Linked DNA regions of Macaca fascicularis. The protein of the gene in region 1 interacts with the protein of each later gene in a pairwise test. Links are inferred from orthologs where the notes say so. Each region holds a gene or a part of one and is shown in the gene's direction. Other genes may lie near its edges.

Region 1 (4,087 bases):
TAAGCACCTGAAGAAGGTCAAATGTCTCCCGACACCTACTGGCCTTCCAGAATCATCTGCAACAAGAACACCACATTGAGCGCCTTTAGTCTGGAGGCGCCTCTTAATCCTCCAGGTGCCACACCTGTTGGCAAGGTGCACCCATCCGCAGAAGATTCCTTCGCGTGGAGGTCACACCTGGCGGCGGGACAGGCGGAGGGGCCGGGTGGTGGGAGTCGGGAACCGCAATGAAACCCTGAGTCCAGATTTAAGTTCCTCGTCGATTGTAGAGAACTGCCATTTGATGCTCCGGTTGCTTTCTCTGTCTCCTACACTGGTTACCTCATTTCCGATTAAATTAATGATCCCAAATTAGCTGCGAGAGGAGTGCGCGGGTCTCCTTTCCAGGCTAGAGCGGAGTAGTTCCATATCAAAGCCGATTTCCGGACCTGCGGAGAGAGGGAGGGGAGGGTCCGGCGGTCGCCAGCGTTCGCAGGCAGGAAAGGTGAGGGTGCCTGTGCAGTCAAGGGGCCCCTTGAAACTTTCCGGAGTTGCATGCAGAGGCAATCCCCGCGGCCCCCGGGCCTGGGTTCCGGAACGCCGAAGCGACGCCGGTTTGCGGGTTAACGTGCAGCTGATGATCAGAGTGAGCCCTTTTAGACGCTGTTCCGAGCGCCGGGGACCAAGGGCACGTAGGGATTAGAATTGACTGACCTCCCCTCCCCCCTGGGGTGTTTCATCGGCTCCCAGCTGAAGCCTGACACCCCTTGAGGGAGTCCCCCAGGTTGCCTGAGTAGCGCCCCGTTGTCGCTCAGTCCCCTCCAACTAGGTGCAGGGACCCAGGGAGGCGCGCGAGGACCGACCCGTCACCGCTCAAATTACCTCATCGCCCAGCTCCCCGCCCCCATCCCAAACCTGGAAGGAACCTTGCCCTCCGGTCCGCGTCTCCCCTGCCCCGCACCCCATCCCGAGCCACTCTTTGGGAAAGGTGTCCGCCTCCCCAGGCGGCGCGCAGCGAAGGGTTAAGGGCGCGGGCCGGCCGCCGCGCGGTGCGCTCGCCGTGCTCTGTGCGGCTTGCCGGGCCGCCCGCCAGAGGGTGCCCCCCACCCCCATGAAGTCGGATCCTTGAGCTGCGGCGGCGGCAGCCAACTGCTCCATATTTGGCTTCTATTACACATTTACATACTGGAGCGAGCGAGCGAGCGAGCGCGAGAGAGCGCGAGGGAGGGAGGGCGGGCGGGCGGAGGGAGGAGGGAGGGGAGGGGAGCGGGAGGAGGGGGAGGAGGAGGAGGAGGAGGAGGAGAGAGCAGAGTATACCGCAGACATCATTTCTACTACAGTGGCGGAGCCGTACAGGACCTGTTTCACTGCAGGGGGATCCAAAACAAGCCCCGTGGAGCAGCAGCCAGAGCAACAGCAGCCGCAAGACATTGTTTCTCTCCCTCTGCCCCCCCTTCCCCACGCAACCCCAGATCCATTTACACTTTACAGTAAGTGGCTATTTTTTTTCCTCCTCTGATTCTTCCCCCCTCCCCCATCCCCTTCTCCCCTTATTTAGATTAAAATCCCTCCTCACCCGATCTCCCGAGAGGGGCAAAAGCAACAACCAGCAAACAAACCCAAAACCCCAATCGGCTGCACGGAAAACAGCTGGAAGAGGAGCGAAGGAAATCGACGCGTCGTGTTCTGTGTGTGCGTGTGTGTGTGTGTGTGTGTGTGTGTGTGTGTGTGTGTGTACATACAACCGTCCCCGGCTCCAGGCTCCCGGGCCGACACCCCCACTGTGGGCGCAGGGGCGGCCGGCGAGGGGGCTGTCAGGGGTTGGGTGGGCGCCCGCCAGGCTAGGGGGCGCGCCCGGGCGGGGGGCGCGGGCGGGGAGAGCGGCGGCGGGGCCCCGTTCCCCCCGGCTGCTGGTCCGGTCGCGAGTGCGGAGAGCTATGTCCTCCTCCCTCCGGGTGGCGCAGGGGGGAGGTGGCGGCGGCCGGGGTGGCGGGGTGGTCCCTTTCCCGGCCGCCCTCTTCCCATTCCTCCTCCCCGGAGAGGGCGGTGAGAGACAGGGGGTCTCGGGGAGGGCTGGACTTCCACGCGGGTGGTCGCCTGGCCTCGGCGCCCCGGGGTAGGGGTCTCCTCTCGGAGGTCCGGCGTCGCCGGGTGTGCGGCTGCGGGCGGGGAAGGGACTGCTCCTGCAGCCTGGCCGGGACTTTGCGCGCGGCCGGGTGCCAGGCGGGGGGCGCGGAGGGGGTGGCCTCGGGGACCGCGCAGGGGTAGCGGGTGTGCGGGTGCCTGGAGAGCGGCTGGAGTGGCGGTGGCGGCCCTGGCCGCCGCCGCCACCGCCGCCCTGTTGGTGCGGCCGCTTCCTGATCATGTGCAGCGGCAGCCGCCGCCCGGAGCCGGGAGCCCGCGAGCGCCCCAGTCCGGGCCGGCGACCCCGCCAGCACCCGCGGCAGGAGCCGAGGAGCCGCGGCAGGCGCTGCCCTGAGCCGGGAGTGAACGGCTGCGCGGCTGCTGGGAGGGTGAATGAAGCCAGGAGGAGGGGAAGGAGGAGGAGGCGGCGGCGGCGGAGGAGGCGCTGCGGGGATTGGGATGCGCCCTGGAGCCCCACTGCTCGTTCACTCTGGGCCGGGCCGGAGACTCTGCCACTCCCGGGGCCGCCGCCGCCGCCTCCTACGTGGTTCCAGAGCTGCGCGCAGGCCGGTCCCGCAGGGGGCAGGGAAGGGGGCCGGACGGGCGGAGCGAGAGGTGAGGCGGTGTCGAAGCGCGGCGTGAGTGTGTGAGTGAGTGTGTGTGTGAGTGAGTGTGTGTGTATTTGTGTGTGTGTGTGCGCGCGCGCCGGGCGGGGTGCGAGGGCAGTCGCGACGCGGAGGTGGCCCTTCCTTGGCTACTTGGCTGACTCTGCAGCGCCCCGACCCCTCTTCAGCCCCCCGCCTTCAGGCTGCCTTCTTAAACTCCGTGGCTTGTGCTTTCATTTTATTTCAGACCACGTAGGGGGCTGACTGGAAGGGATGAAACAATTCAGGTTTTCTAGGGAGATTGAGCAAGAACCTTAGTGGGGGGTGGAAGTAGGGTGGTGATCGAGACTCTGCCAGAAAACAAAACAAAACAAAAAAAATCAGTTTCTAAGGACGTCGGGGGTTAGGTTCGAGCCCGTGGCTGCTCTGTTTTGTTTTGCTTTCTTGGTATATAATCCTACAGATAAAAGGGTAATACAAATATTTGAGAAGATTGAGAAATTGCTGAAGAGTAGTAAGGGCAGGAAAAAAAAAAAAAAAAAAAGCCAGTCGGAAGAAGCTGGTTATATAATGCGCGATGTGGCTAACAAGAAAGGCAAGCTATTTTTATTTTGTTTACCGTATGCTGTGCAGTAGGGACTCCTCCAAACTGGTTCTGTCCCCGAAGAGATTCATAGCTTCCCTGTGAGATCCACAGGATACAATTAGCAAAATTAGAAGACCCTATTACACCCACAGAATAAAAACTAATGCCTTACAGTGGCTTTCTCCCTGCACATCCTGTCGTGCATGCACGGGAATGTGTGTATGCAAATAAGTTCTCCTTTGGCAATCTAGTAGTCACATCTCAATGACATTTGTGTTTTATAATGCAGGCTGTTTTTAATATTTAAACATCATCGTTATATATTGCACACAGCAGTGGGTAGTTACTTGGTTATTTTTAGGCATAGCTAGTTACTTTTTCAACAGTGTTAGCTAAGACATTTCTGTTTGGGTTTTTTAGGAGGCTGCAGTTCCTAGAAGCCCCCGTTAAGCCCACCCTTCGGTTTATTTGGTGGGTAAAGGTAGTTTGATACTCGAGCTTTTTTTGGAATGAAGCTTATGCCTGAGGAAACCACCAGAGAGAAGAGAAAATCCTGCACAGGAACTCTTGGAAAGGGATTGCACCATAACGGCTAGCGCTGTGCCATTTAATCTCCTCTGATTGCCCTCTCACTGTGCATGCATCAGTCAATATTTTAGCAGCTCCGCAAATAAATGGACTTGAATGCCATCTTCTACATAAAGCAGAGGTTGAAGGGCTCCCCTGAACCTCCTGGCTGCCTGTCAGTGGTGTAGGTTTTCGGTGCACTTACTCCAGCCCTGATCGCTCATGT
Region 2 (3,306 bases), on another chromosome or scaffold:
TATTTTGAACACATTAATTAACCCAGGATTGAGTGCAGTTTTAATGACAGTGACATTACAGTGAACACATTGAGCTTGCAGGTGGTTAAAATGCCAGTTAAGGGGGATGTTGGGAAAGGCCCTGGTGGTGTGCTGAGGAAGCAGCTGTGGGAGTTGGAAGCAGCTGTGGGAGTTGGAAAGTCAGAGGGAAGGCAGCTGTTAGTGCATCTGTTAGGCTGTTGATTTCGTGCTGGTTCTGTGTCTGACACTGACAAAGCCAGTTAACTCTTACACAGTAAGACAAAGATGGTGGATGCCAAGTCTTTATGAGCCAGTTGGCATACCACTAAGCACTAGCCATTGCCTGACTTCTTAGCCTTCCCAAGTATTTCAGACTCCTCAAGATCCAGTATATATATATATATATATATATGATCCAGCTGGATGGATGGGTGGGTGGGTGGATGGATGGATGGATGGATGGATGGATGGATGGATGGATGGATGGATGGATAGATAGATAGATAGATAGATAGATAGATAGATAGATAGATAGATAGATAGATAGATAGATACGATAGATAGAGAGTTGACATAGTAAAGTATAGATCCAGGTATATAATTGACATAGTAAAAACAATACCTTTAGTGAGATTACTTATAGCACCCAATCTGATTTGGTGAGCAGGAGTTGGTTTCCTTTTTCAATGCTGATGAAGGGGTTGGTCCCAGAAAAGACTTGTCTCTGTCTCTTTTCCATGGTGGGCAGCTATATAGACAGCCAACTCCATGGGTAATTGAGTCCTGTCCTCTCATCACTGACACTGCACCGTGTGTGAAGTAATCCTCTAAAGGGACCAGGCCAGGTGCAAAGGTTGCGTCCCCTCTTACAGATCAAAGGTTTGGTATGTGGGACAAGCTAAGGGGAGAAAGTAACTTTTGCTCCCATGAGACCTCGGGTTCATTTGGTCCCACCCTTCCTGTCTTAGAACCTTGGGAGCCATATTCCTGCTGTATCTGCATTCTCAGCCCAGAATAGACATGGAAACCCTCTCCCAAGGCCATCTGTTTACCTTGGCTTCTCCTTCCTCAGTACTTTAATGGGTGTCCCTGGGAGGACCATGGGAGTGATGTTCACACCTCTGACAGTGAAATACGCATACTATGACACTGAACGCATCGGAGGTGAGTAACCTTTCCATACTCTCTTGAGAGGTCATAGGCGTTTTCAGGGAAGGGGGCTGCTGTTCTGCAACAAGGATGGAGGCCTTGGGTGGTTTAAAAAGGGACTATTGATCTAAGGTTTGTGAAGACTAGAAGTTACAGTCATCTCTTGTATAAATGGGATTTAAGGAGTTATTTGAGAAACTGTTAAAGGTGGGAAATTATCAGCACCAGAGGCCACATGACCATTCATATGAGATCAAAACCGGTGATGAGCATACCAGGTAAAAGGAGTTGAGCTCTGTTAGGAGGAAGAAAAGCTGATAAGGGCACAGCAGGGAGTGTGATTGAGCAGACTGTCTAAGGGGAGGTGGGAAACAGAGTTAGCAGGACTTTAAGGCCATCTCTTTCCTGGTGGGATGACTGAATTCTCTCTCTTACTGCCCACCACTGCCACTGCCACCCAACTTCCACAGTTGACCTGATCATGAAGACCTGCTTTAGCCCCAACAGAGTGATTGGACTCTCAAGTGACTTGCAGCAAGTAGGAGGGGCATCAGCTCGCATCCAGGATGCCCTGAGCACAGTGTTGCAATATGCAGAGGATGTACTGGTGAGAGGGGAAAGAAAAAACAAAGGGGGAGGACATAGTTCTCCATCCTGGGATTACTGAGGCAGGTGCTGATGAAATGGTAGGGCGCAGTGGTTATAATTAACTGCCTCATTGAGTCTTTGTTTTGGTGCTCAGTCTGGAAAGGTGTCAGCTGACAATACTGTGGGCCGCTTCCTGATGAGCCTGGTTAACCAAGTACCCAAAATAGTTCCCGATGACTTCGAGACCATGCTCAACAGCAACATCAATGTGAGTGCCCTTCCTGAGCCCCTGCTTGCCTGGTTTCTTCCCCTACCTCAGCACATACACTCAAATGTGAAGAGTTGGGTGAGGTGGCCTGGAGTAGGATAGAGACAGGGCTTCACCTATAGCCCCATGGAAGTCCAGGTTGGGAGGAAGGAAGAGGTGTGGTATGCATGTTTGGAGACTTCTTCCTTCTCCCGTGATTACATTGTCTCATTTACTGCTGATGCTACTGTGACTTACTGTCTAAATTTGTGATAGAAAGAAACACTAAAATTCAGAGGTTAAGGAAAATGCAATTACTTGTTTTCCCCATCTGAGTTCACGGACCCCCTATATTCCATCCATGGGTTTCAGCTAAGGCACCCCTAGACTGTAAGTGTCTCAGTAGAGATAAGAAAGTCTTCTCAAGCATTTCTTTTCTGTCGTCTACCTTTTTGACTTTTATTCGGTCTCTCCCAGCTGTCATTTATCCACAACTGTCCTCATACCTAGTGCCCACCATAGAGCCAGCCAGTGCCAGCCTTTTTGCTCCCTTTCCACCCAACCCCCCACTCATTGTGTATTCTTTGTCTTCCAGGACCTGCTGATGGTGACCTACCTGGCCAACCTCACACAGTCACAGATTGCCCTCAATGAAAAACTTGTAAACCTGTGAATGGACCCCAAGCAGTACGCCTGCTGGTATAGGTCTTAAACCCAGGACTCAGAAGTGAAGGAGAAATGGGTTTTTTGTGGTCTTGAGTCACACTGAGACAGTCAACTGTGTGTGACTCTAATAAACATAGCCTACCTTTTGTAAATTAATTTCATCTTATGTGAGTTTATTGCCGGGTGGAAGGGAGGAAAATGTTTTAGATCACACAGAAACCAGGAAGTGAATATTGTAGGTAAAAAAGTTGGTTATGTGTTTGGCAGGTTACTGTTTTACCAAACTGTTCTTTTGGTTTTCAATATGGAAAGGTGTCCATTGGCAAAACTGTACCTTTTCTTGAGGATTCGTGTGATTTCTGTAGGAAATGAAAATAAGAATCCATGGAGAAAAAATAGCTGAGAAAATTGGATGCTTAATCTAAACTAAAAGAGTAGAGTGTGTAGTCACTATCTTAAAATACATTAATAGTAAGATGGAGCTGTCTGCCACTTTAGTTTGGGGAGGGACAATTAAGATCTGTGGGTTAAAGATTAAAGAGGTTTCCCCAAAACTTCAGAAAATTCTTAGGTGCTATCTGTAACTTGAGGGTACAGCCTTCAGTTATATTGAGGTCTGCCAGTGGCTCAATTTGAGCAAAGACTAGATGGCATTT
Region 3 (3,500 bases), on another chromosome or scaffold:
ATTTGTCTGACAGGGTACTTATTATTCATTTTATATTTGTTTTATTAGGATCATTTTCCTTCCCATGTATTCTCTTTGAACTTCCTTTGTATTGTTAATATACAGCTCATCACGATCTGACATTTATTAATGATTTATGACGTTTCTTTTGCTCCTACTTAATTGTGAACTATTTGATTCTTATTCATAGTACTTAATCACTACTCACTAAATACCTGGAATTTTCTACTGAGTAGTCACCAACTTACACAAGAATTAGTTGTCAAAAAAGTAGATTGGCCAGCCATGGCGGCTCACACCTGTAATGCCGGCACTTTGGGAGGCCGAGGCAGGAGGATCGCTTGAGGCCAGGAGTTCAAGATCAGCCTGGGCAACAAAGTGAGAACTGGTCTCTACAAATAATGAAAGAAAACATTAGCTAGGCATGGTAGCAAACATTTATGGCCACAGATACTCAGGAGGCTGAAGTGCGAGAATCAATTGAACCCAGGCATTCAAGGCTGCAATGCACTGTAATCACGCCACTGCTCTCCAGCCTGGACAACAGAGCAAGATCCTGTCTGAAAAAATGAAAAAATAGATTGGGCCACACGCCATGGGCTCATGCTTGTAATCCCAGCACTTTGGGAGGCTGAGACTGGAGAATCGTTTCAGCTTAGGAAGTAGTGGCTGCAGTGGGCTGCAATTGTGCCACTGCACTCCAGCCCAGTTAACAGAGTGAGACCTTGTCTTAAGAAAAAATGAGAAAAAGTAGATTGTAAAATGTGTTAGTCTGGGGAGGCCCTTTAGAAGGAAGGACTGTGAAGTGAGATTTAGTGTCATTGCTCCTTTCTCAGTTTGTTAGCTTTAGGACTGAAGCATTTTGAAGGGACTGAGTTTCTTAACCCTCTAATCAGCAAGTACCTTCTAACCTGCAAGACTGCCCGCCAACTGACAGTGAGAATCAAGAACCTCAACATGAACAGAGCTCCTGACAACATTATTAAAGTGAGTGTTTCCTGAATGCGCCATCCATGCACCTCACTAATACATATCCGTTCTTTCCTCTTGTAATTCTGAAAGGAAAAAAGAACCTTATTTTATCTTAAGCTAATTTCTCCTACTTATACACTAGATGAATTCCCCTGTTGCCTTTTCAGGGACATTGACTCATTCATTACGTTCCTCTGGAGTATCTTCATCCTGTTAAAAGATTTCATAAATCCATGTTTCCCTGTAATAATTCTCTTTCTTGAACTTTTTTTTTTTTTTTTTTTTTGAGATGGAGTCTCGCTCTGTCGCCCAGGCTGGAGTGCAGTGGCGCAATCTCAGCTTACTGCAAGCTCCGCCTCCTGGGTTCACGCCATTCTCCTGCCTCAGCCTCCCGAGTAGCTGGGACTACAGGCGCCCGCCACCACGTCCGGCTAATTTTTTTGTATTCTTAGTAGAGACGGGGTTTCACCGTGTTAGCCAAGATGGTCTCAATCTCCTGACCTCGTGATCCGCCCGCCTCAGCCTCCCAAAGTGCTGGGATTACAGGCGTGAGCCACTGCACCCGGCCTCTTTCTTGAACTTTCTAGAAATGATATGCAGTATTCCACTTACATGTTTTGGGGTTTTGTTTTGTTTTGTTTTTTGGTCAAATGTAATCTTGTACTGTCACCCAGGCTGGAGTGCAGGAGTATAGTGGCATGATCCTGGCTCACTGCAGCTTCCACCTCCCAGGTTCAAGTGATTCTCGTGCCTCAGCATCCCAAGTAGCTGAGATTACAGGCGTGCCCACAACGCTTAGCTAACTTTTTGTATTTTTGTGTGTTGGCCAGGCTGGTCTTGAACTTCTGATCTCAAGTAGTCCACCGTCTTGGCATCCCAGAGGCTAGGATTAAAGACATAAGCCACTGTGCCCAGCCTATATACTTTTTCTCAACTCTGTGTTTGTTTGTATGTATGCATGTATTTATTTATTTATTGAGATGGAGTTTCGCTCTTGTCGCCCAGGCCCAGCCTATATACTTTTTCTCGACTCTTTTTACTTATCGATTGATTGATTGAGATGGAGTTTCGTTCTTGACCCCCTGGCTGGAGTGATGGCACGACCTCGGCTGACTGCAACCTCTGCCTCCTGGGTTCAAGCGATTCTGCTGCCTCAGCCTCCCTTGTAGTTGGGACTACAGGCCCCCACCACCATGCCCATCTGATTTTTGTATTTAGTAGAGTCGGGGTTTCACCGTGTTGGCCAAGCTGGTCTCGAACTCCTGACCTCAGGTGATCCATCTGCCTTGGCCTCCCTAAGTGTTGGGATTACAGATGTGAGCCATCACCCCCGGCCTTCTTTTTTATTTTGATATTTATTTATGGTTTGTTTTTTGTTTGTTTAGAGACTGGTTTTCACTTTGTCATCCTGGCTGGAGTGCATGGGCACAATCATAGGTCACTTCAACCTCAAACTTCTGGGTGATCCTTCCACTTCAGCCTTCCGAGTAGCTTGTACTACAGGTGCATGCCACCAAGGCTAGCTAATTATTTTATTTTGTGTGAAGACAGGGTGTCATTTTGTTGCCCAGGTTGGTCTTGAAGTCCTGACCTCAAGCAGTTCTCTTGCCTCAGCTCGGCCTCCCAGAGTGTTGGGATTACAGGTGTGAGCCGTGATGCCCAGCCTTTGGTTTCGTTTTGTTTTTGTATTTTTCTTGAGACGAAGTCTTACTCTCCTGCCTAGGCTGGATTATAGTGGTATAGTCATAACTTACTGCAGCCTGCTCAAGCATTCTTCCAACATCAGCCTCCCAAGGAGCTGGGATTATATGCATGAGCCACCGTGCTTGGCCATTTTTTTTTTTTTTTTGACAGAATCTCGCTCTGTCACCCAGGCTGGAGTGCAGTGGCACAATTTTAGCTCACTGCAACCTCCGCCTACCAGGTTGAAACAGTTTTCATGCCTTCGCCTCCTGAGTAGCTGGGACTACAGGCATGCACCAACACACCTGGCTAATTTTTATATTTTTAGTAGAAACATAATTTTACCATATTGGTCAGTCTGATCTTGAACTCCTGACCTCAGGTGATCTACCCACCTCAGCCTCCCAAAGGGCTGGAATTATAGGCATGAGTCACTGTGCCTGGCAAAAAAAAATTGTTTTTTTCTTTTTTTTTTTAGAGATGGGGTGTCCCTGTATTGCCCAGGCTGGTCTTCAATTTTTGGCCTTAGGCAATTCTCTTGTCTCAGCCTCTAATTGGTATTTCCTGGTGTATTGGATTTAGGCCTTATTTATTAACCATAAACCATGGAAGCCAAAGATTTACCTCTCTCCTCACTCCCTTTCTCCCACCACAAACATGCACATTTTATGGTCTCCAAACTCCTCACTAGTAGTTATGGAACAATTTTGGTTAGATTGTATTCAGGATTTACATTGTAAGATTTTAAGGACTGTCGGCCAGGCGTGGTGGCTTATGCCTGTAATCCCAGCACTTTGGGAGGCCGAGGCGGGTGGATCACGAGGTCAGGAGATCGACACCATCTT

Evidence for each region. The genes of interacting proteins can lie anywhere in the genome.
Region 2: the proteins of ATXN1 (region 1) and EIF3F interact in binary tests that used the Homo sapiens proteins (3 or more experiments, as listed by UniProt). The link is inferred for Macaca fascicularis from reciprocal best matches to the Homo sapiens genes ATXN1 and EIF3F.
Region 3: the proteins of ATXN1 (region 1) and YY1AP1 interact in binary tests that used the Homo sapiens proteins (3 or more experiments, as listed by UniProt). The link is inferred for Macaca fascicularis from reciprocal best matches to the Homo sapiens genes ATXN1 and YY1AP1.

Annotation. Positions count from the first base shown.
Region 1 is NC_088378.1:156,154,676-156,158,762, forward strand, and holds the start of ATXN1 (ataxin 1), read left to right. Parts: upstream 1-1,287; 5' UTR 1,288-1,469; intron 1,470-1,555; coding exon of another isoform or gene 1,556-2,659; intron 2,660-3,327; coding exon of another isoform or gene 3,328-3,390; intron 3,391-4,087. Other genes in the region: uncharacterized protein, read right to left, coding at 333-428, 1,556-2,659, 3,328-3,390. UniProt on the Homo sapiens protein: Chromatin-binding factor that repress Notch signaling in the absence of Notch intracellular domain by acting as a CBF1 corepressor. Binds to the HEY promoter and might assist, along with NCOR2, RBPJ-mediated repression. Binds RNA in vitro.
Region 2 is NC_088388.1:57,828,837-57,832,142, reverse strand, and holds the end of EIF3F (eukaryotic translation initiation factor 3 subunit F), read left to right. Parts: intron 1-1,072; coding exon 1,073-1,164; intron 1,165-1,619; coding exon 1,620-1,756; intron 1,757-1,891; coding exon 1,892-2,005; intron 2,006-2,579; coding exon 2,580-2,657; 3' UTR 2,658-2,806; downstream 2,807-3,306. UniProt on the Homo sapiens protein: Component of the eukaryotic translation initiation factor 3 (eIF-3) complex, which is required for several steps in the initiation of protein synthesis.
Region 3 is NC_088375.1:105,442,852-105,446,351, forward strand, and holds part of YY1AP1 (YY1-associated protein 1), read left to right. Parts: intron 1-836; coding exon 837-987; intron 988-3,500. UniProt on the Homo sapiens protein: Associates with the INO80 chromatin remodeling complex, which is responsible for transcriptional regulation, DNA repair, and replication. Enhances transcription activation by YY1. Plays a role in cell cycle regulation.